Arabidopsis thaliana: one gene and its partners. The protein of the gene in region 2 interacts with the protein of the main gene of each other region in a pairwise test. Each region holds a gene or a part of one and is shown on either strand. Other genes may lie near its edges. The genes, in order: AGO1, VAP27-1, AT1G10180 and PIP3.

Region 1 (7,851 bases), on a different chromosome or scaffold from region 2:
AGAACTCCAATCAACATCTAATATTTTGTCTACAACTTTATGTTTTTTCACCTTACTATATGATCTAGACAATCTTTTGTTAGGTAAAGTGTCTAGATATTCTTTCACCTAATTAACACGGAAACGTAAACTTGTACAAAAACATCTATTGATTATAGAAGAGAACCGAGCCGTGAGAGTCGTTTCTCGTCAAGACCGCACCAATCGACTCAAACATGAGCCAAACTGTACGTAGTTCTTATAAGGAACACAAACCTCCATCGTAAACCAACGTTTTCGATCGGTTCTAGCTAGACTCGCCATGCATGCATGTGCGTTGGTGCCCGTAATTACGTACACCAATCTTGATTGATATCAATGCTTATATGCCGTTAATCTTCATCTCGACTCTCGAGGTAGTAGTACTTGACGAGTTCTAAGTTCTTCTTCCGTTATGAGAAATCATATATAAGTTCTTCTATACATCTCGCTTGATTATTATAATCTTTCGCCTTTTAATTTCTCGTTTGATTATTATAATTAATGTTTATAATGAAAAGAATCATTATTTCCCAAAGCAAACGAATCATTTTGAGATAGACTTACAGTTATCACAAAAAGAAATCTAAACGTTTTCCCCAAGATTTAGCCTTTCGTCAGCATGTAATTACTCGTGACATATTCTCTAGCTCATATTTCTTCTTCACGCACGAGCAACCAATTTTGTTATATATGTATAAATCATCTTTGACAATTATATATAATACAGATTTGTTACGAGTATATGAATTTTTTTGAGGTACAGAAGCAAATCAACTAGTGAAACTAAATTAAAGAGCTAACCATCAAATAAAGTAAATTGAATTAAACAAACAAATCATACCACGTGATGACAGCCACCACATTCCTAAAGTTAGAAAATTGGCAAACCTGTAAAAAAGCATCACTTCCCCGAAATCGCAGGTCATATTTCTATGAAAACGAAAGAGAGTTATCTATATAGTAAATGGCTATATTCATATTTGCCCCACCACCCATGACCCATCTCAGTTAATAAATAGTTCTTCTATTCACCTCTATACTATAATCATTCACTTTATCTTATATATAGTCTATAAAACTAAACGTAATTCGCATGATTTTGCCTTTCGTTGCATGAAAAATCCTCCTTGACAATGTACAATTCGTTAGTACTACTCGATCAGTCGCCTTGACTCACGACATTTTCTCTAGCCACTGTTTTATCTTCACACACAAGTACCAATTTTAAACTGTTGTACTTAACTGTATAACATCCTTTATACGTAACGTAAGCCAAAAATTATGATCTAATCAGTTACTACAGATTAATAATAAGATTAATAACGGCCGGTCTACTAATTTTGAACACTTGTGCATGCATTATCTCTCGTTGAAATAGTAAATTAATGCAACTAACTTTACAAGATTAATCGAGGTATATTATAGTCTAAAACAAATATTTAAATTAATGCAACTAACTCTTGAAGATTAATCGAGGTAACGCATCACACTAATCATATTTAATCGGATAATACATATACTGTTAGTAAAATAAATTAAAAAAGATTTGGTAGATAAACGACAAAAATGTTTTTCGTCTTGTTGTTTTCGAGAAGCTTCTTTTTCCGGATTAAAAAAACATTATGCAATTCCACGTCATCAGCGCATTACAAACAATGAAAGACTACACACGACCTTGGGTCAGCATTCCAAAGACCCAACCCTGACTCGCCACGTCGACATATGCCAGCTATTAATGAAGAGGGTAATTCCGTAACTTACTCTAACCACAGAACCCTTGAATTTAAAGTGTAGCAGTAAAATCTCATTTCTTTGAGTTATCTCGTTTGTTCGGAGTTAGAGAGAGAGAGAAAGATATAGAGAGAACACAGAGAGGCGAGAGCGACGTAGGGTTGGTGTTTCGTACGGATTTTCTCGGTCAATCTTAGTTTCTCCGGCGAGAGATTGCTTTTCAGGTAAAAATGGCGGCGGTTTTGGTGTTTGTTCTTCACTTAATCTGTGTTCGATCTGCGTATGAACTCGATTTTTCCACTCGATTGGGTGGATCCGCTTCGTTTTGGTGTTATGGTTCACTGATAGTGTTGTATGTTTAGTTGATCTTTGCGATTTCGGATCTATTAGCTTCGTAGCTGTTTTGGTGTGTGTGTTCGTCTTCGAAGATATTTAGGTTTTTTTTTTTTGTTGCTTCAAATTTCTTACTGTTTCGTGCTTGTTTTCTTACTTCGTTTTCTGTTTAGGTCTTTGATTGTTTCTTACTAGGTTTTCTATGTTTGCTTTGGGCTGTTGAATTTGGTTTTCTATCTCTCTAGCTAATCACTGGTTTTCGTGCTTCTGAGTCGTTTGTTTTTGAAGCTAGTTAGGGTTTTCTTCTGTTGCTTCTATATTTCGATAGTTTTGTGCTTGTTTTCAATGTTTGCTTCTTATTTTCAAGGATAATTTTAAAATGACCCACTGTTTTTGGGTGGTTGTGTTATTTTCACAGGAATCATCATGGTGAGAAAGAGAAGAACGGATGCTCCATCTGAAGGAGGTGAAGGCTCTGGGTCTCGTGAAGCTGGTCCAGTCTCAGGTGGTGGACGTGGTTCACAGCGAGGTGGTTTCCAGCAGGGAGGAGGACAACACCAAGGTGGAAGGGGTTATACTCCTCAACCTCAACAGGGAGGTCGTGGTGGTCGTGGATATGGGCAACCACCACAACAGCAACAACAGTATGGAGGACCACAAGAGTACCAAGGAAGAGGAAGAGGAGGACCTCCTCATCAAGGAGGTCGAGGAGGGTATGGCGGTGGCCGTGGAGGTGGACCTTCTTCTGGACCACCGCAGAGACAATCAGTTCCCGAGCTGCATCAAGCTACCTCACCTACTTATCAAGCGGTGTCTTCTCAGCCTACACTGTCTGAGGTGAGTCCTACCCAGGTACCAGAACCTACTGTTCTGGCTCAGCAATTTGAACAACTCTCTGTTGAACAAGGAGCTCCCAGTCAGGCAATCCAGCCTATACCTTCTTCTAGCAAGGCTTTCAAGTTTCCAATGAGGCCTGGTAAAGGACAGAGTGGAAAGCGTTGCATTGTGAAGGCTAACCATTTCTTTGCTGAACTGCCTGATAAGGATTTGCACCATTATGATGTGAGTTTTGTGTTCCCTTAGTATTAGCTACCATACATCTAATGTCTATTTATAAATTTACCTGACCAACTGTGTTCTTTCTGTTAGGTTACCATTACTCCGGAAGTTACATCAAGGGGTGTCAATCGTGCTGTGATGAAACAACTTGTTGATAATTATCGTGATTCTCACCTTGGAAGTCGTCTTCCAGCGTATGATGGTCGAAAAAGTCTTTACACTGCTGGTCCACTTCCCTTTAACTCCAAGGAGTTCAGAATCAATCTTCTTGACGAAGAAGTAGGGGCTGGAGGTCAAAGGTCTAGTTCTTATGGTTTCTTGTTGATTTTTTTAATAAGGAAGTTTCAGAATAATAACATCTTTCCTATTTTACAGACGAGAAAGGGAATTTAAAGTTGTGATCAAGCTAGTTGCACGTGCTGATCTGCATCACCTAGGAATGTTTTTGGAGGGGAAACAATCAGATGCCCCACAGGAAGCTCTGCAGGTTCTTGACATTGTTCTTCGTGAGCTGCCGACCTCTAGGTACTGGTTACTCATCCTATGGATGTTTGCTTCTTTACTACCATGCTTGTAAGTCTCAGCTGGTTTAGTTTTGCTAACATGTTAGAATCAGGTATATTCCGGTGGGCCGGTCCTTTTATTCCCCTGATATAGGAAAAAAACAATCATTGGGGGATGGCTTGGAGAGCTGGCGTGGATTCTACCAAAGCATTCGTCCTACACAGATGGGCTTATCACTCAATATTGGTGTGATGGCTTGCTGTATTACATTCAATAATTTTTGATATCTGGTTCTCCTTGAATGTTTAACTCATGGTTGTGCTGCAATTTTGTCTGTTTTGTAGATATGTCATCGACAGCCTTCATAGAGGCAAACCCTGTGATTCAGTTTGTCTGTGATTTGCTTAACCGGGATATTTCTTCTCGACCTTTATCTGATGCTGATCGTGTTAAGGTATGAATCAATTGTCATTTTCTGTAGTAAGTGAAATGTTGTATTAATCTACTCTTCTTTGCTTAGTGACTTGGAATCTTCTTCTGTCAACAGATAAAAAAGGCTCTTAGAGGTGTCAAAGTTGAAGTGACTCATCGAGGAAACATGCGCCGGAAGTACCGCATTTCCGGTTTGACTGCTGTGGCCACTCGGGAATTGACGTGCGTATTTGTTTTAGATTTACTACTCTTATTTCGCGAATGTTGAACTTGATGAAATTAATTTTTACTCTCTGTTTTTATCCTTTTCAGATTCCCAGTAGATGAAAGAAATACTCAGAAATCTGTTGTAGAATACTTCCACGAAACATATGGTTTTCGCATTCAGCACACTCAACTACCATGCTTGCAAGTTGGGAATTCTAATAGGCCTAATTACTTACCAATGGAGGTAACTTTGAAATACGTCATCAGGTTTTATTAGCTCACCAGTACTTCCGATTCTAATGTGTTGCTGCACAGGTATGCAAGATTGTTGAAGGCCAGCGGTATTCCAAAAGATTGAATGAGAGACAGATCACTGCTTTGCTGAAGGTTACCTGTCAGCGCCCGATAGATCGAGAAAAAGATATCTTACAGGTATGTTTCTTTATTTTCGATAACTTTGTTTTCCTTCACTTGAATCAAGAGTATCTTTTTGTCCGCCTATCTTGATAGTCGTTTTAAATAATGTATGCTGGTGATAAAGCCTCATTGTGGAATAGATCATTGTAAAATCTGTTTATTCTTACTTGGTTGCATGTGTTTACTTGAAGTAAGTGATTTTCTCAATTCATATCTAACTTGTTTTTAATCATATAAACTTGTGGCTGAAAGGATGTTATGGAATGAATGGCTTAAAAACCTGTTTCTTCTTTACTTGGATGCATATGTTTGCTTGAAGAGAGTGATTTACCTTGAGATGATGCCTTTACTTCATAAATAGTGAGGCAGATTACCATCTTCAGAGTTGTGCTCTTAATTTAGCAGCGCGTGTGTCTTCTGGCTGCTGTTGTTGAAAACTCAATTGTTTATTGCTAACATTATACAATATTTTCTGATTTCTAGACGGTGCAACTCAATGATTATGCTAAAGATAATTATGCTCAAGAGTTTGGCATCAAAATAAGTACTTCTCTGGCTTCTGTTGAGGCTCGTATACTGCCTCCTCCATGGGTATAGTAATCGTTCCCATTGTCTCTTTGCTATTACACTTTTTCTCTGTATCTTAATGACTCAAATTAGGGTTCCAATCTGATTTTAATGTTCTGCAGCTTAAGTACCACGAGTCTGGAAGGGAAGGGACTTGTCTGCCACAAGTTGGTCAATGGAACATGATGAATAAGGTAACTAGACGAAAATGTTCCTGGTTTTCAACTATGCACTTACATGTTTCTTGCTTGTGTTACCTATATATACCTATGCTGTCATTTTTATGTGAATATTTTGTAAATCATGGCTGAGCTGTATATTTCCAGGTAATTGGCAAGAAAATTGTTTATTTATTTGTCTGTTATGAGACATATTACTCTAAAATGCTATTCTCTTGATATGAGTATGGGTGTGGCACTTGACTAGTTGCAGAGAGTATTTTGTTCATGTAGCTATGTAGATACACACTGAATTTGTCTTTGTTATTTTTTGAAAGTGATCACAACGTTTTCTGTTGTCTGGCTAATATGAGTCTTCTCTGCAGAAAATGATCAATGGTGGAACGGTGAATAATTGGATCTGCATCAACTTTTCTAGGCAAGTGCAGGACAATCTAGCGCGTACATTTTGTCAGGAACTTGCTCAAATGTGTTACGTATCTGGCATGGTGAGTCTTTGGAAGCACAAACTTGATCAGTTTATTAACCTTTCCTACACTGATTCCTTCCCTTTAATTTTTTATTTCTTACCTGCAGGCATTTAATCCGGAACCAGTCCTCCCACCAGTCAGTGCTCGCCCTGAGCAAGTAGAGAAGGTCTTGAAGACTAGATATCATGATGCCACATCAAAACTCTCCCAAGGAAAAGAAATTGATCTGCTTATTGTCATTCTGCCCGATAATAATGGATCATTATACGGTATGAGCCATGGTCTCGGATGTTTCATTGTCTACTTCTGCTTAGGAACACACTCTCAACTTATTTTCCTTAATAATATCCATTGCAGGTGATTTGAAACGCATATGTGAGACTGAACTCGGCATAGTCTCTCAATGTTGCCTGACAAAGCATGTCTTTAAGATGAGCAAACAATACATGGCTAATGTTGCGCTGAAGATTAATGTGAAGGTTGGAGGAAGAAACACAGTGCTTGTTGATGCTCTATCTAGGCGGATTCCTCTAGTCAGTGATCGACCCACCATTATATTTGGTGCTGATGTTACCCACCCTCACCCTGGAGAGGATTCAAGCCCATCTATTGCTGCTGTAAGTTAGCTTCTCCTTTAAGATCTACTTCTGTATATGGATGCTTTTGTTTATTTTCATGGCCTTAACCTTTTCAAATTGTGCTTGTTTTGTTGACAACGAAATTTTTGTTTTCAGGTTGTGGCATCTCAGGATTGGCCTGAAATCACTAAATATGCTGGATTAGTTTGCGCTCAAGCGCATAGGCAGGAGCTCATTCAGGATCTGTTCAAAGAGTGGAAGGATCCTCAGAAAGGTGTGGTGACTGGTGGCATGATAAAGTACGTGTGGATGTTATTTAATATTTTCGTGATTGGGTTTTAGCTTTAGCTTGCTCTTAAGTAACAGATCTGTACGTTTCTCCCCTTACTTTTGAACAGGGAGTTGCTCATAGCCTTCCGTAGATCAACTGGGCATAAACCACTAAGGATCATCTTCTACAGGTATTAACTCTTCTTATGGCACTTACTTGACTAAATAACTTTCTGTCTTTCTTTCTGAAATGTATTATATGGTTATTCTGCACAGGGATGGAGTCAGTGAGGGACAATTTTACCAAGTTTTGCTCTATGAACTTGATGCCATCCGCAAGGTAACAGTTACTTCTAACAAATGGCTTGTGTTGCGTGCTCGTTTTCTTCTGTTTAATCTGATTATTATTTCAACTCATTTCAGGCCTGTGCTTCGCTGGAAGCAGGTTATCAACCACCAGTGACATTTGTGGTGGTGCAGAAGCGTCATCACACGAGGCTGTTTGCTCAGAACCACAATGATCGCCATTCGGTGGACAGAAGTGGGAATATTTTACCTGGTGAGACAAGTTTGGATCTTTGTCAAGCTTTTTGTGCGTAGACCTAATCAGCTGAAAATCCCTTGCATTGGTTTTTAACCCCTTTGTTAATTGTAGGCACTGTTGTGGACTCTAAAATCTGCCACCCTACAGAGTTTGACTTTTACCTCTGTAGTCATGCTGGTATTCAGGTATAATTTACAATCTCAAATGAGTTTGTGGGTGAGAATTTATTTGAAGTGTTTAACAAATCAAAACTCCATTAACAGGGCACTTCTCGACCTGCTCATTACCACGTTCTTTGGGATGAGAACAACTTTACTGCAGATGGACTTCAATCTCTGACCAATAACTTATGTTACACGTAAGATTTCTTACCTTTGTAACATATTCCTTGTTACAAGTGTTTGCAAGATTGCAAGGAAAATAAGAGTAACATTTAAACTACCTTTTTGATTTGTACAGGTATGCAAGATGCACACGCTCAGTTTCAATTGGTAAGTTTTGTGTTTCCCATCCCTTAATGTCATCTTGATTTTGATATA
Region 2 (5,031 bases):
ATCTATAGTGGGCTTTTTAAAAAGGATGGGCCGACTATTCAAGTTATCAACACGTCGTCGTATAATCATAGTAGCTCTTTGTATTTTTGTTCCGGACATGATTATCTTAGTATCCAAACACGTCACATTCAAGTTTATTCTAAAGATTTTTCTCTCCGGAGACGTTAAGAGAAGAAACAGCCAACGGATTAGGGATCTTACCGTTCTGCGATTCGCCGGTGAGTGTTTTTATTTTATTTTTCCGATTTCATATCGGCTTCTTACTCTTTAATTCGATTTCCTTATATGTTATCGTGATTACCTTCCCGAGAATTCATGGTAAAATTGATCGGTATATATTTTGATAATCGACTTCAATTTGGTTTATCCCTCCTTATGCTTAATTGCTTCACTTACCGGTTTTGATTCTGACTTGTATTGATTTGATATCGATTATCCGGTTTAGTAGCTTCAAGTGTTTCCCCTGTGTCCATGTATCGTCTTGGTCCTGATGATTTTGAAATGTTCTGTTTTGTTTGTTTATGTTAAGAACAGAGTTTGAAGCTTTTTTTAGAGACTTCAATGGTGAGCCAAGGAATGGTATCTCTTACAAAGTCTCTATGCACTATGACTCCAAGAGTCCGTCTCAAGAATCCGAATATGTTGCAGAAACTAAAGACTGGATCTTGTAATTTCCGTTTCAGAAATCTCCGTGTCTTATGCACACCAAAGCTGTCTCAGTGGGAACCGTCACCTTTCATTCATGCTTCTGCAGAAGAAGCTGCTGATATAGTATTGGACAAAACCGCGAATGTGTTCGAATCTATTGTCTCCGAGAGTGCAGAGGAAGAGAAAGTAGATATGTCAGCGCAACAACGAACTAATTCTCAAGTTCAGGTACTTAAATGGCCAATATGGCTTTTGGGTCCATCTGTTCTCCTCACAAGCGGTATGGCGCCTACTTTATGGCTTCCGTTGTCATCGGTTTTTCTCGGTTCCAACGTGGTTAGTCTACTTTCTTTGATCGGTCTAGATTGCATTTTCAATCTTGGAGCAACCCTTTTCCTCTTAATGGCTGATTCTTGCGCACGTCCTAAAGACCCATCACAGTCCTGCAACAGCAAACCACCATTTAGCTATAAGTTCTGGAACATGTTTTCACTCATAATCGGGTTTCTAGTCCCAATGTTACTTCTCTTCGGATCCCAATCTGGCCTTCTCGCTTCTCTCCAGCCCCAGATTCCTTTCCTCTCGTCCGCTGTTATCCTCTTCCCGTACTTCATTCTCCTTGCTGTTCAGACATTAACAGAGATCCTCACATGGCACTGGCAATCACCGGTCTGGCTAGTCACACCAGTTGTCTACGAGGCTTACCGAATCTTGCAACTGATGAGAGGGTTGACACTTAGTGCAGAGGTCAACGCACCGGTTTGGGTGGTTCATATGCTTCGTGGGCTTGTCTCTTGGTGGGTATTGATCTTGGGAATGCAACTCATGAGAGTTGCTTGGTTTGCTGGTTTTGCATCTAGAACAACAACAGGTCAGCAACCACAATCTGTTGCTTCTAAGTAAAGACAGATAAATGTTTCTTCGTTTAGTTTTTAAAGTCATGTCAAAGATTTGTAACTCTTTCTTCACTGTATAGCTTTTATTATTCGTGGGTTGGTGATAAGGATTAAAAAAAAACACATATTCTTTATGATCATATTCGCTCTTTTAGTTAGGTATGTGATGTTATTCATTTCAATATTAAAGGCTGATAGGTTGACGTTAAGGTTGAGAATATGCAAAGGTTGACACAGATTCCTGTCAAAGAAAGACATTTAAGAATTTACGAAAAATGATGAAAATGTTTCTCTTAAGAAAGTAGAGCATAATGTCGAATAAGACTAGTTTATATGGTTTTGTATTTTTACTAAGTCATGTCAGAAAGAAGAAGAAAAATATATGTACTGTGTTATAGCCTTATAAGTAATAGGTTTTTGCATTTGGTGAGTACTTGGTAACAGTAAAAAAAAGAAAGTTATACGTTACGTTGTGAAATATGATCAGATTATAATGTATATTCTTTACTTTAGTTGAATTGTTGTTGTTGTAATTCATCTCCACGCGTTTGCGATTAGGGCGCGTTTGCGTTTTTATCAATTTTAAATGAATTGACAGTATTACCCTTGAGAAATGAACAAGACAAATAGCGATGTCCCACTCTATTCATTAGCTCTGTCTAATCTCTCTCGATCGACGACTGCTCTCTCTCTGAACCGGAGACGGTGTCACGGGACGAATCTAATCGCCGGGAAACCGTTTTTTTTTTCTCTCGGAAAATCGATTTGAATCTCCGGCGATCTGATCGGGATGAGTAACATCGATCTGATTGGGATGAGTAACCGCGATCTGATCGGGATGAGTAACAGCGAGCTTCTCACCGTCGAGCCTCTCGATCTTCAATTCCCTTGTAAGCTTTATTCATAACTCTTTCAATATTTCGCATGTCTTATTGCCCCAGATCTATGTGTTAAGCTTCTTCTCTGATTTGATGTAGTTGAATTGAAGAAGCAGATCTCTTGCTCTCTCTATTTGACGAACAAGACCGACAATAATGTTGCCTTTAAGGTTATAATTCTCTTATTTAGCCTTATCAATTTTGGAATCGAGAAAAATTGTTTCGTGTTTCTGAGGCTTCTCGTGATGATTTAGGTTAAGACGACGAATCCGAAAAAGTATTGTGTTAGGCCTAATACTGGAGTTGTTCTCCCGAGGTCTACTTGCGAAGTTCTTGGTCTGTTCTCGATTTGTGTTTTTTTTTGTTAATTTCGATTTGCTAAATTGGTTATTGGATTAGGGAATTTGATGAATTCTTAATGTCTGGTTTGATATAGTGACCATGCAAGCTCAAAAGGAAGCTCCTTCCGATATGCAGTGCAAGGACAAGTTTCTGCTTCAAGGTGTGATAGCTAGTCCTGGTGTCACAGCCAAGGAAGTTACTCCTGAGATGGTATATTATTATATGGATGGTTACAGTTTTCATATGGATGGTTACAGTTTGGTGTTGGTTTTACTTAAAAGCAGTATTTTTCTTGTTTCTTGTAATGAAATTTTGCAGTTTAGCAAAGAGGCTGGACATCGAGTTGAGGAAACTAAACTGAGAGTTACTTATGTTGCTCCACCACGACCACCATCACCGGTTCACGAAGGATCTGAAGAGGGTTCTTCACCCAGGGCTTCTGTCTCAGATAATGGACATGGTTCTGAATTTTCGGTTAGTACATGTTAACTTAAGTTTAGATTTCAGTTTCTCTGGTAGACATATTTATATGTAGATTTTCATGTTTAATTTTAGTTTGAGAGATTTATCGTGGACAACAAGGCTGGACATCAAGAAAACACATCTGAGGTATTTTTCACAATTCTTCCAAGTTTGTCACCGTCAAAACCATGTGACATCATCTTTTGCTTTTGCTCTGTTTAAAACTGATTTTTGGAGGTAGCTTTACTGGAAAGTTGCCTTTTAGGCTGATTTACTAGGTTGAGAATCTTTCTTTATGTTGATTACTTAAAAGGTTCACTACATTTTTAGAAGCCTGTCCAGTGCTCAAGCCGTCCATTAATTGTCTTTTTGTGCACCAAATCCTCGTAGATGTTATTTTGACACAGTTACCACTTACTATACACTATTTTGCTTCAGTCATTCTACATTATTTCTATTACCGCTGAATTTTGTATGATTTCAGGCGAGGGCACTCATTACCAAGCTAACCGAAGAAAAACAGTCTGCCATTCAACTGAACAACAGACTTCAAAGAGAACTGGTAAAACAACTCTCACTTGGATCCTTTATTATCTCTGAATCTCCTCCATGCTCTTGTTACTTTGATGATTAGCAATCTGTAGCGTTTGTAGTGTTTTTCCATGGTTTTGAGAAGGTATGCTTAAAGTCATCATTTGTTTTTGTGAAGAGATGCTTTAACTTATCTTTTGCATTGGCTTCTGTTTCCATGGTTGACTTATCTCACCATACCATTAATCAAAACCAGTCTTGTATGAATATTCCACAAGCTTAGTTTAGAATCTTGAGATTGTTTATCTGACAAAGATTTTGGTTTGATGTGGCAGGATCAGTTAAGGCGTGAAAGCAAAAAGAGCCAAAGTGGTGGTATCCCATTCATGTACGTTCTTTTGGTCGGACTCATCGGTCTAATTTTGGGATACATTATGAAGAGGACATAAACCACCCACCTTGAAATTAATCCCTCACCCGCCACGAAGGAAAAAAAAAAGACTTTTAACTCTTTTCAGTCGGACATTTTTTTCTCTTCTGTATTTGTCAATTTCGCCTTAAAAAGGTGTCCTAGAAGATTTGTGTTTCGTAACTCAGTTTGCTATGTTTTTTTCAACTTTTGTAATCCAAATGACTTTGCGTTGGTTCTTTCTCCACTAATTCTCTTATATTTCTTAACTTCATTTTCCATCTCAAACCTTCCTCCGTGTCTGCATTAGTCAGTGTATGTATATGTTTGTTCCAAATGCTTTTCTCTTCCTTTACCACATAATTTCTTACATCAATATTGAACAGAGATGAACTACAACGGCAATGTTTCATGCTTATGTTTTTTACTGATGAGGAAAGAAAGAGCTAAATCATGTGCAACTTTTAGTATCTTCTTCTAGTTTCCATCTAAGAACCATGGACTTGGACAACGAATAGACCAACAAGACTCGGTTCTCCATTACCCTGTTGCATCTTCTTGGTTTACTATTCATTTGTCCTAGTCTGGTCCATACACCCGACGTGCTACACAAATAAAACTTGAAGCAAAGAAAGATACTAAATGGGAGAAACTACAAGAGAAAAGAGCGAGAAATAGAAACTACCTGGATCAGATAGCAGCGCTAAGAAGAAGAAATTTTGGAGAATTGATCAAAGATTATAGATAAAACAAATTTACGTTTTTATATGTGTTGAGAGTATAACGATGAGACTATTTCTCTCTGTTTCTTGTTTCTCTGGTTTGTTTATGATGATGATCGATGATACTAAAACGATGAGAGTAC
Region 3 (5,542 bases), on a different chromosome or scaffold from region 2:
AATATAATTGGAACCAATTGTAAAAATGTAAGAATATTTAACTAATAAGAGATGTACTCGACGAGTTAAAAATTTCATAATAAAAATTTATAATTTAAAAACAAGGTAAAAATAAAAATAGTATTTTTGTGAGATAAATCATATATATGAAAGTTGACCAATTCTCTCCATATGATTGACACATCATCACTTTAACATTTGCCATGTGTCCACTGAATAATTAATGTAAGCTCTTCAACTTTTAATTTATAGATTAATGATATATTTATTATTTAATTTTACATATTTAATTGTACTAATACTAAATTTATTTTGTTATTAAATGTTTTTCAATAAAATAATTTGATTGGTTTTCTCATACTCAAAAGATTTTTTTCTGTAATCTTAACTCAAATTATGAGTGTATAGTAGTCATGGATTAATTAATAGTTTGAATAGTTTGCATATTGTTATATATCTATATAATAAATCGCCGAGGGTGAAGAGTATGTAAGAAGTTTAATCATCAAATTCTTAGGTTTCGAGAATCCCAATATTACCCTCTATTTAATTAGTTTAAGACGAACATTGTTTATGAATTGTGTGTATAATGCATTGTTGAGAATGTTGTTAGAAAAAATATATTTTAATACTAAGAATAATTACTTATTATATAAGTAAATGATTAGATAATTAAAAATTATATTTAAATTAAACGATACAAAAAATTTGAAAATACCGCAGCATAGCGCGGGTGATTAACTAGTGTTACTAATAAATATAGAAGAACGGTTTTATAAAATATGTTTTGGAACACATAAAATATAGGAATGGGCCGAATGGCCTTGTGTGTGGAGAAAACATTTGTTACTATAGTGACGAAAAAGAAAATACTCCCGTGAAGAAATTTAACAGCTTGTGTTACTTACTTACTTGTTTAGCACTTTGGTTCTCCATTCAAATATCTGAACCAATAATAATAGACCAAAAAAGAACCAAAATCCTTTTTGTACCTGCTTTGTCTGTTTTATAATGTCCATGGCTAAGCCCAATTTTTGTCGGGAAGGCCCATTATCAATATATATTAATTTGAAGGAAAAAACTAAAAAGGGATTTAAAAAAGAGAGAACCAAATCGAATTTCTAAAACACTCAATGGATCCTAGAATCCTTGAACCGAACTATCCAACACCGCAGAGAACAACACAAAGCGAATCAAATACCCAGGAATTAAGAGCGAACCGGAGAAAACCAGCATCAAATGTCAAAACCTTTCTTTTTCTTTATTTTACTACCTCTTGTGCTCTATTTCCAGCTCGAGCAGGCAATTTGTATTGGTCATCATATAGGTTTGAATTTTAATGAATTGGTCAACCCTGAAGTCAACGAGATATTTCGTTTTGTGAATTGTGGTTAAACAAAATTTTGATTTTGAGATTAAAATTGTAGTAGAAGTTTAGGAAATAGTGTAGACTTACTTCTTCATGGCGAAAAAGGTATGACAAAAACCATAAGAACCATCGTGCCGTCTTTGGCTTGAGATATTACACTACATGCCGTTTTGTGTACAAAAAAAGCAATGTTACAATTCCGACGAATCTGTGTGTCTTGAGAGCAGAGAGAGTCCAAAGCATCACTATCGTGCTTCTTTCGGCAACCGTGTCTGAGACAGTGAGACTCCGAGGAAAACTGAAGGGGAAATAGATAGAGCGAGAGACATGGAGAGCAGCGAGGAAGACGACGAGTACCCATTTATAGAAAGCATCACTCCTCAGTCAAAGATCGATTCCGTTCACCAGTCTCTCACCGAAAAGGTCTCTCCTTTTCTTTTTTCTGAGTTGTTTCCTTCTCTGAACTGATTCATTGCACTCGGATATAGTTTATCTCAAATGGGTTCTTTCGAATTAATCTGGATTAAGAATCAGTAGCCCTCGAATTTTACGTCTTGGATTGAAATTGTTGAACCTACGATTGTTCATGATTACTTCTCCTGTTGGTCCATGGGTTTATGCTCGTTGATCTGGTAATGTTGAACAATGCAGGGGATTAGAAAGCTTTGCTGTGAGCTTATGGATTTAAAGGATGCTGTGGAAAATATGTGCGGTGATATGCGTACCAAGTACCTTGCTTTCTTAAGGTAATGTATAAAAGCTACTAACTTCTCTTTGTTATTTCATTTGCGAGTTTTGAATCTGCAATTCCGGATTCAAAGGTTACGTCATGTTTCTTTGTATCCGTTGTGCTAGTTTCTGAGATTCATTTCTTTATGCTTGGTTTGTGTAGAATATCTGAAGAAGCGGTGGAGATGGAGCATGAGTTGGTTGAGCTACGGAAACATATTTCTTCTCAGGGGATTCTTGTGCAGGATCTGATGGCTGGAGTTTGCCGTGAGATGGATGATTGGAATCGATTACCTGGTGATGTACATGACGCTGAAGTCGAAGAGGACCCCTTGCCTAATGAAGTAACCGATCCAAAGTCTGAGTTCCTGGAGAAAATTGACCTTCTTTTGGCTGAACATAAAGTGGATGAAGCACTGGAGGCAATGGATGCTGAGGAAAGAAGCAGTCCAGATCTTAAAGGATCAGTCGAGATGTCTTCTTACAAGTCTGCCTTTATGGAAAGAAAGGCGGTTCTTGAGGATCAGCTCCTTAGGATCGCTAAACAACCCTCGATTTGTGTAGCTGAATTGAAGCATGCATTGATTGGGTTAATCAGACTTGGAAAAGGACCTTCAGCTCACCAATTGCTTCTAAAGTTTTACGCCACAAGCCTCCGCAGAAGAATCGAGGCCTTTCTCCCTTCATGTTTGACTTGCCCAAACACGTTTCCTGCTACTCTCTCTAAGCTTGTTTTCTCTAACATCTCAGTGGCTACAAAAGAATCCGCAGCCATGTTTGGTGACGATGATAATCCCGCATATTCCAACAAAGTTGTTCAATGGGCAGAGAGGGAAGTTGAATATTTGGTGCGGTTGGTTAAAGAAAACGCTTCTCCTTCCGAAACAGCTTCTGCATTGCGGGCAGCCAGTATATGTCTTCAAGATTGTCTTAACTATTGCAAAGTGTTGGAACCACAAGGCTTATTTCTGTCTAAGCTATTTTTGGTGCTGTTCCGACCTTATGTTGAAGAAGTGTTGGAGTTGAATTTTAGACGGGCTCGAAGGGTTATCTTTGACTTGAATGAAACTGATGAGGGCTTGGAATCACCCTCTGACTTTGTGACAATATTATCTGAATTCGCTATCGCTTCAGATACTATGATGACTGATTGTAGCATTCGATTCATGCAAATTGTGCAAGTAAGTTGATTTTGAACACTGATCTTACTATTTTCTTTGATTCTGTTGGCATAAATTTATAGAAGCTTTATTTGTTCTTTCAGGACATACTTGAGCAGTTAACACACCTAGTTGTGTTACACTTTGGTGAGAGTGTACTAACGAGGATATTGCAACTATATGATAAATACATCGACTTTCTGATCAAAGCCTTGCCTGGCCATTCAGATGAGGATGGTCTACCTGAGCTCCAAGATAATACCGTACTCGCTAGAGCTGAGACAGATTCTGAGCAGCTTGCGCTTCTTGGAGCTGCGTTTACAATACTTGACGAACTTTTACCAAGATCACTTGTTAAAGTCTGGAAACTCCAGATTGAAAATGGCGGAGGAGAAGGTGAGAATAGTGCCGCTCTAAACAGTAGTGCTGCACCGGAACTGAAAGAATGGAAACGCCATATGGTTCAAGCATTTGACAAACTCAGAAACTACTTCTGTCTGCAGTTTGTCTTGAGCTTCATCTACTCTAGGGAAGGACTAACGCGATTAGACGCACTCATTTATTTAACCGAAACACCAGATGACTTGCATCTGCCGTCTTTACCGTTTCAGGTCTCGCCCTCTTCTTTGATCTAGTTTTATAGTTCCCAGTTTATAAGTTTTAGCACACAGAATCATCTGTGTCTGTTCTTATGCAGGCATTGTTTTCTAAGCTACAACAGTTGGCCATAATTGCTGGGGATGTTCTGCTTGGTAAAGAGAAGCTGCAAAAGATTCTACTAGCGAGATTAACAGAGACGGTTATAATCTGGCTATCAAACGAGCAGGAGTTTTGGAGTGCATTCGAGGACGAGTCAAATCCACTTCAGCCATCTGGATTGCAACAGGTAGAAACACTCTCTTTCACCACTCTTATATACCTCAGCTATTCTCTGATCTCAGGCTCAGCAGTCAAAGATTGAAAATTTGAAATGGGAAACAATTGAAACTTGATGTTGAAGTTCATTTCTTGAGAAGATTGGGGTTGAAAGTTGAAGTTTTGTTGTCACGTGTTGCAGTTGATCCTCGACATGAACTTCACAGTGGAGATAGCCAGGTTTGCAGGTTATCCATTTAAAGTAGTTCAGAACCATGCATCAGTGGTGATCAATCGAGCCATCAACATATTCTCGGAAAGAGGCATCAACCCACAAAGGTAATTGAAACAACACTCTTTTTGAATTTTCTTCCAACTCGGTCTCAACATAACGAATTACCTAAAAAGTGTATTATTCTCTTTCACCAGCTCACTCCCGAAGACAGAGTGGTTCACAGAAGCCGCCAAGTCAGCTATCAACAGGCTACTCATGGGGTCTGAGGATGCTTCAGAACCGGAAGAATATGAGTGTGAAGAAGAAGAAGAAGACGATCATCACATCGTCCTCCCTGAGATGGATGACGACTCAGATTCCGAAGATACATCTTCACTCTCCACAGTGGACTCGTTCGAGTCATTTGCCTCTGCAAGCATGGCTGACCTAGAGAGTCCATCTTTCACCGATTCTGAGTCTTGACCACTTTCTTTGTAGTTTGTATCCTGTAGTCAAGTCTCTCAAAACTCTCAAGTTAATATATATAAAGTTAACCGAAATCATCTGCAAATTAAATTACTGGTTTAGATTGGTTTAAGTCAATTAGTATAGGCCCATTGTTAGCCCATTAGGGATGAGGCGGTTCTTGAGGGTTTGTCAAGCATAAAATAATTCAGACAAGCCGGTGAAAAAGAAAAGTCGTACGCGACTCTCTCTCTCTATCTTTTATTTCCTTTGGGAGCAAGGCGGTCTATCACTTTCAGTCGCTATATATAATCTTCCTCATCGCTCCATTTTCTCCTACAGTCTCTTTCTCTCTCTCCCTGAGAAAACAAGGGAGACTAATCGGAATCTCCTGCGTATTTGATTCTTCCGGCGATTGTTTCCTTCTTTATACGCTTTCGTATATTCTTGTCAGGTACCAAACTTTTTCCCCCTCTTTGGTTGTGAGCTTCTAATCATTTGTTTTATCGTTCTCTTTGATTCAGCAATATCGAAGCCAAAATTTGTGTGTTGGTTGGTGTTGGTCACCAAAATTTCTTAGATATGATAAAATAGGGCACTTTGATTTTACCCCCTTTTTTAGATCCCAAAGAAGGAGGAATAGTTTAGGCGTCTTGCTATCAATTTTCGATTCGTTTGATTTGGCTTTAGTTAATTTCAACATCGTTGTAGCTGTGTAAGATTTTATTGTTACGTAGATTGGTTTGCTCG
Region 4 (4,300 bases), on a different chromosome or scaffold from region 2:
GAAATCTTATTGATTACTACTAGGGTCGATATCTCACTATTTGGAAACCGCAGGCTCCCTATTTATTAGTTTCAAACTCAATTGAAATGAAAATGTGTATTGGTGGTTTTAATGTTTGCACTGCGTAATGTTGCCTGAACTGTATATTTAATAAATTTACCACAACTTAGCAGATATAATTTTGTTATACGAAATCGTATAGTCTTCTTCATGGACAAAGAGGAAGGCAATCATCATTTTCTATGATTGCTCATCGACCTGGCATTTCCATTACCAAAGGCAGCATAATATCAAATCAAATATTTCTTTGTCGTACTTTACTTGAATTAATGATATTATCGTGGGTCGACTTAGGAAGTAAAGTTACTTCCATTTCATATATCTAAATCACATTTGCGTAAAATTTAAGTATTACACAAAGTGATAAAGTAAATTAAGTAATAATTGGCTAGGGATATTAACAAAATAAATAATTTTGATTAGGGCTACGAGGATAAGGACAAACGTCGTATTAACGTATAAAAAATGTGAAAGGAAAAGAGTAAACTAAGCTTTAGATATTAACACTCATTACGGGATTCCTAAATTGCCAGCACTTCGGATTATCCGTCAGTCCACTATTTATGCTAGTTTTTCTTTTCCTTGTGAGCTTGCACTATGGATTTTTCTTTATGCAATTCTCAATCTAAATGACCATTAAACTTTAGAAAAAAATGACCATTAAGTTTTAATGTACATTTGTATCAACTTTCTAATATGCCACGTCCGTATTGCTATATACAAACATAACCATTCAAATTAATATGGCTCTCTCAAAGGAAAAAAATAAAAGGAATAGCAAATGAGTAGATAAATTTTTTGATCAAAAAGAATAAGATGCACTAGTATTAGTATATACTCCCATACATCATTTAACCAAATTTTAAAATTGATTATAATCCATAAATAGTCTTCAAATTTCAACGACAAACACATTAATGTGAGTATAAATTAGCATAGACTACTATATAGTTTATATGCGGGGTGAATGTTTGTCTATACAAGTTTCGTCAAAAAAACGGCACCAACCATAATTAATAGACTCTTATCTTTTGCTGGTATATGAACTCTTTTTAAAAATTGCCGCGAATATACCTTCTTCGTAGATTATTAATCTTTTTCATGTACAGTTGCCTTTAGCAGATTATCATATGTTACAAACATTTGACCTAATTTGAAAAAATGTTACCAAAAAAGATTTGGAAAAAAAGACAAAGATATTGAGATAACCGTTGAAGAGAGTTTGGGATGACAGGCTGACGAGAAAACCATACACCTCATTTCTATCATTAACCCTCACATGGCTTATCTGTACATCTGGACCCCACCACCTTCTACTTTTATCTCCCATTTTTTTTTTCAAATTATTACTACCCAAAAAAATATTCAACAAACCTACAAAAACACATGTCTTATTTTTATTTATTTAAACATTTGTGTATTTATCCCATTGTTCCATATTTATTAGTAGGAAAAATATTCACATTTTACAGAACTGCAAAAGATTTGGCCATGCAAATTATACCCCACTTTGATTGCTATTTTATACACTATATCATACAGTACAAGAACAAAAATTTGATTGGGCCAGTAATAATGCATATAACTATTGATGTTAGCAAGAGAAAAAAATGCATTAAAACACAAATTTGACTATTATTTTGCAGGAACATTCGTGATAATTTTGACTATTATTTTGTCAGTAATAATGCATATTAATCGTATGTGATTTTAACTAAAACTGGAAAGTTCCAAGGAACATTTAGTAGTTTATATTTTTAGTACTAAGTTAGTTTAGAGGGTTATTAACTATTTAATCGTACTAATAATGATTATAAGCAGAATTATGTAGACTATACAAATAGTACGTAATACCGAAAGTACCCTTGGTTTATCCCTGGCATTACAAGGGTTTCCTTTTTCCCCTTTAAAATGGCAGAAGAGATACACTGTCGTCGTCACACAGCACCACAAACTCCATAGCTAGCTAGAGAGTAAAAAGAACAAAGATGTCGAAAGAAGTGAGCGAAGAAGGCAAAACCCACCATGGAAAAGACTACGTGGATCCTCCACCAGCTCCTCTTCTCGACATGGGTGAGCTCAAATCCTGGTCTTTCTACAGAGCTCTCATCGCTGAGTTCATCGCTACACTCCTCTTCCTCTACGTCACCGTCGCTACTGTCATCGGCCACAAGAAGCAAACCGGTCCTTGTGACGGCGTTGGTTTACTTGGTATCGCTTGGGCTTTCGGTGGTATGATCTTCGTCCTCGTCTACTGCACCGCCGGTATCTCTGGTAAGTTTGAATCCCACCAAAAACCCTAACTTTTACTTGTTTGGTTCGTTGGTTTTATTGTTAATCTCGTTCTTGTTCTCGTCTTCTCGTAGGTGGTCACATTAACCCAGCTGTGACTTTCGGTCTGTTCTTGGCCCGTAAGGTCTCTTTGGTGCGAGCTCTTGGTTACATGATAGCTCAGTGTCTTGGAGCCATTTGTGGTGTGGGTTTCGTGAAAGCTTTCATGAAAACTCCTTACAACACTCTTGGTGGAGGAGCTAACACCGTAGCTGACGGTTACAGCAAAGGAACTGCTCTCGGAGCTGAGATTATTGGAACTTTCGTCCTTGTTTACACCGTTTTCTCTGCAACTGACCCTAAGAGAAGCGCTCGTGACTCTCACATCCCCGTAAGTCTCAAAAAGCTTGAATCTTTAATTGAGTTTTTTGACAAAGTTACTATGAATCTGATTGGGTCTTTGTAGATTATGATAAAGGTTGAATCTTTTTAGGATTTAATGATAAAGTTAGTATGAATATAAAATGGGTCTTTGTAGATTCTGATGAAGTTTGAATCTTTTTATGGTGTAATGACAAAGTATGTATGAATCTCTAAGGATCTTTACTTTGTAGATTCTGATAAAGTGTGGTGGGTTTTCTTGTGATTAGGTTTTGGCTCCACTTCCAATTGGATTTGCTGTGTTCATGGTGCATTTGGCTACTATCCCCATTACTGGAACTGGTATCAACCCAGCTAGAAGCTTTGGTGCTGCTGTTATCTACAACAACGAGAAGGCGTGGGATGACCAAGTAAGTGTTTAGTTATTATCTGGATTAGGTATTCACTAATCATTCATGACTTCATGTCCTAATGTTGGTTCTGTGTTGGTTTTGGTTTTGCAGTGGATCTTTTGGGTTGGTCCGTTCTTGGGAGCACTAGCTGCAGCAGCTTACCACCAATACATATTGAGAGCTTCAGCAATTAAGGCCTTGGGCTCGTTCCGAAGCAACGCAACCAATTAATGAAGGCTTTTTTTAAGATAATGTCAAGAAACAACTTTAAGATTTATATGCTTTAATTATTATTTGTTGTTCTTTTGTGTGTAATGAGAGAGATGGTGGATTGATGTTAATTATGAAATGGCTCAGTGACTTCTATTTCCTTCTTTAGTTTTTGATTGTCTTTGTTAATCGTTTGCCTTTGGTTTCTCTTAGTAGTTACAAATTCATGTTTTCTCTTCATGTCAGTTCGTAAATATCGAACAATCCAAGTTGGAATTTATTATTCACAACATCACAAGATCCTTCAATGTACATTATTACAGCTAGCGTCCAATTAAGATACAAATTTCGGCTGAACATGGTGTGTGGGTCTTTTGGTTATTATCCTCGTGTCGACTCTAAACCATCGGGTCATATGTAAACCATTCATTAATTGACACGTGTTGAGAAGGAAATATTGGATTCCATTTGCTATGTGGTTACATTTTCGTTAGTTGACAAGAAAACAACTATTTTCGCTCCATTTGCTTTAGTCTTTTTTTTCGATGTTACTTGTTAGAATTAGTATTGTTTTTAAAAGAAAAAGAACTCGTGCGAGTACCTTTTGTTGTTTTTGTGAAAGGATAAAAAGGAGTGGAGCCAATAGAGTTGTAACAACCAGACAAGAAACGAGACATTAAACCCATTTTTTCCACCGCACTCTAACTTTTCTTAGGCCGCGTGTCGCGTAGCTCATGTGTTTATCACATGGGTAACTTTTCTGCGTCTAGTTACCGTATTGTTATTGTTATTGTTATATAGTAGACTCCTTTTGGCTAAGAGTCTTTAGACCCACCCAAACGCATATGTGTTTGGATGTATTAGGAAATTATTTGTATAAAAGACTTTACCAACTTAATTGAATAATGCATTTGATTAAAGAGAGAAAAAAAAAAGAAAATGCTCATGGAAGCAATAAGCACTAAATTTGTCTATGGGATGTAAAT

What was found.
Region 1: the proteins of VAP27-1 (region 2) and AGO1 interact in a two-hybrid assay, tested with the Arabidopsis thaliana proteins (one study listed by BioGRID).
Region 3: the proteins of VAP27-1 (region 2) and AT1G10180 interact in a two-hybrid assay, tested with the Arabidopsis thaliana proteins (one study listed by BioGRID).
Region 4: the proteins of VAP27-1 (region 2) and PIP3 interact in binary tests that used the Arabidopsis thaliana proteins (3 or more experiments, as listed by UniProt).

Annotation. Positions count from the first base shown.
Region 1 is NC_003070.9:17,886,553-17,894,403, reverse strand, and holds the start of AGO1 (Stabilizer of iron transporter SufD / Polynucleotidyl transferase), read left to right. Parts: upstream 1-1,807; 5' UTR 1,808-1,976; intron 1,977-2,503; 5' UTR 2,504-2,511; coding exon 2,512-3,147; intron 3,148-3,234; coding exon 3,235-3,443; intron 3,444-3,519; coding exon 3,520-3,669; intron 3,670-3,754; coding exon 3,755-3,894; intron 3,895-3,992; coding exon 3,993-4,102; intron 4,103-4,195; coding exon 4,196-4,302; intron 4,303-4,392; coding exon 4,393-4,531; intron 4,532-4,602; coding exon 4,603-4,719; intron 4,720-5,187; coding exon 5,188-5,295; intron 5,296-5,393; coding exon 5,394-5,465; intron 5,466-5,815; coding exon 5,816-5,938; intron 5,939-6,026; coding exon 6,027-6,189; intron 6,190-6,277; coding exon 6,278-6,537; intron 6,538-6,654; coding exon 6,655-6,797; intron 6,798-6,896; coding exon 6,897-6,959; intron 6,960-7,044; coding exon 7,045-7,108; intron 7,109-7,191; coding exon 7,192-7,327; intron 7,328-7,423; coding exon 7,424-7,497; intron 7,498-7,575; and 4 more.
Region 2 is NC_003074.8:22,398,203-22,403,233, forward strand, and holds VAP27-1 (vesicle associated protein), read left to right. Parts: upstream 1-1,907; 5' UTR 1,908-2,334; coding exon 2,335-2,434; intron 2,435-2,521; coding exon 2,522-2,592; intron 2,593-2,676; coding exon 2,677-2,758; intron 2,759-2,858; coding exon 2,859-2,974; intron 2,975-3,082; coding exon 3,083-3,238; intron 3,239-3,299; coding exon of another isoform or gene 3,300-3,319; coding exon 3,320-3,373; coding exon of another isoform or gene 3,374-3,467; exon of another isoform or gene 3,468-3,710; coding exon 3,711-3,788; intron 3,789-4,092; coding exon 4,093-4,206; 3' UTR 4,207-4,522; downstream 4,523-5,031. Other genes in the region: AT3G60590 (cytochrome P450 family protein), read left to right, coding at 26-218, 530-1,551. UniProt on the Arabidopsis thaliana protein: Part of a membrane-cytoskeletal adapter complex that forms a bridge between the endoplasmic reticulum and the plasma membrane. Associates with microtubules.
Region 3 is NC_003070.9:3,337,649-3,343,190, reverse strand, and holds AT1G10180 (LOW protein: exocyst complex component-like protein), read left to right. Parts: upstream 1-1,562; 5' UTR 1,563-1,696; coding exon 1,697-1,792; intron 1,793-2,020; coding exon 2,021-2,115; intron 2,116-2,261; coding exon 2,262-3,279; intron 3,280-3,362; coding exon 3,363-3,869; intron 3,870-3,955; coding exon 3,956-4,144; intron 4,145-4,315; coding exon 4,316-4,452; intron 4,453-4,542; coding exon 4,543-4,810; 3' UTR 4,811-5,006; downstream 5,007-5,542.
Region 4 is NC_003075.7:16,706,624-16,710,923, forward strand, and holds PIP3 (plasma membrane intrinsic protein 3), read left to right. Parts: upstream 1-1,737; 5' UTR 1,738-2,048; coding exon 2,049-2,334; intron 2,335-2,426; coding exon 2,427-2,722; intron 2,723-2,981; coding exon 2,982-3,122; intron 3,123-3,215; coding exon 3,216-3,335; 3' UTR 3,336-3,784; downstream 3,785-4,300. UniProt on the Arabidopsis thaliana protein: Water channel required to facilitate the transport of water across cell membrane. May be involved in the osmoregulation in plants under high osmotic stress such as under a high salt condition.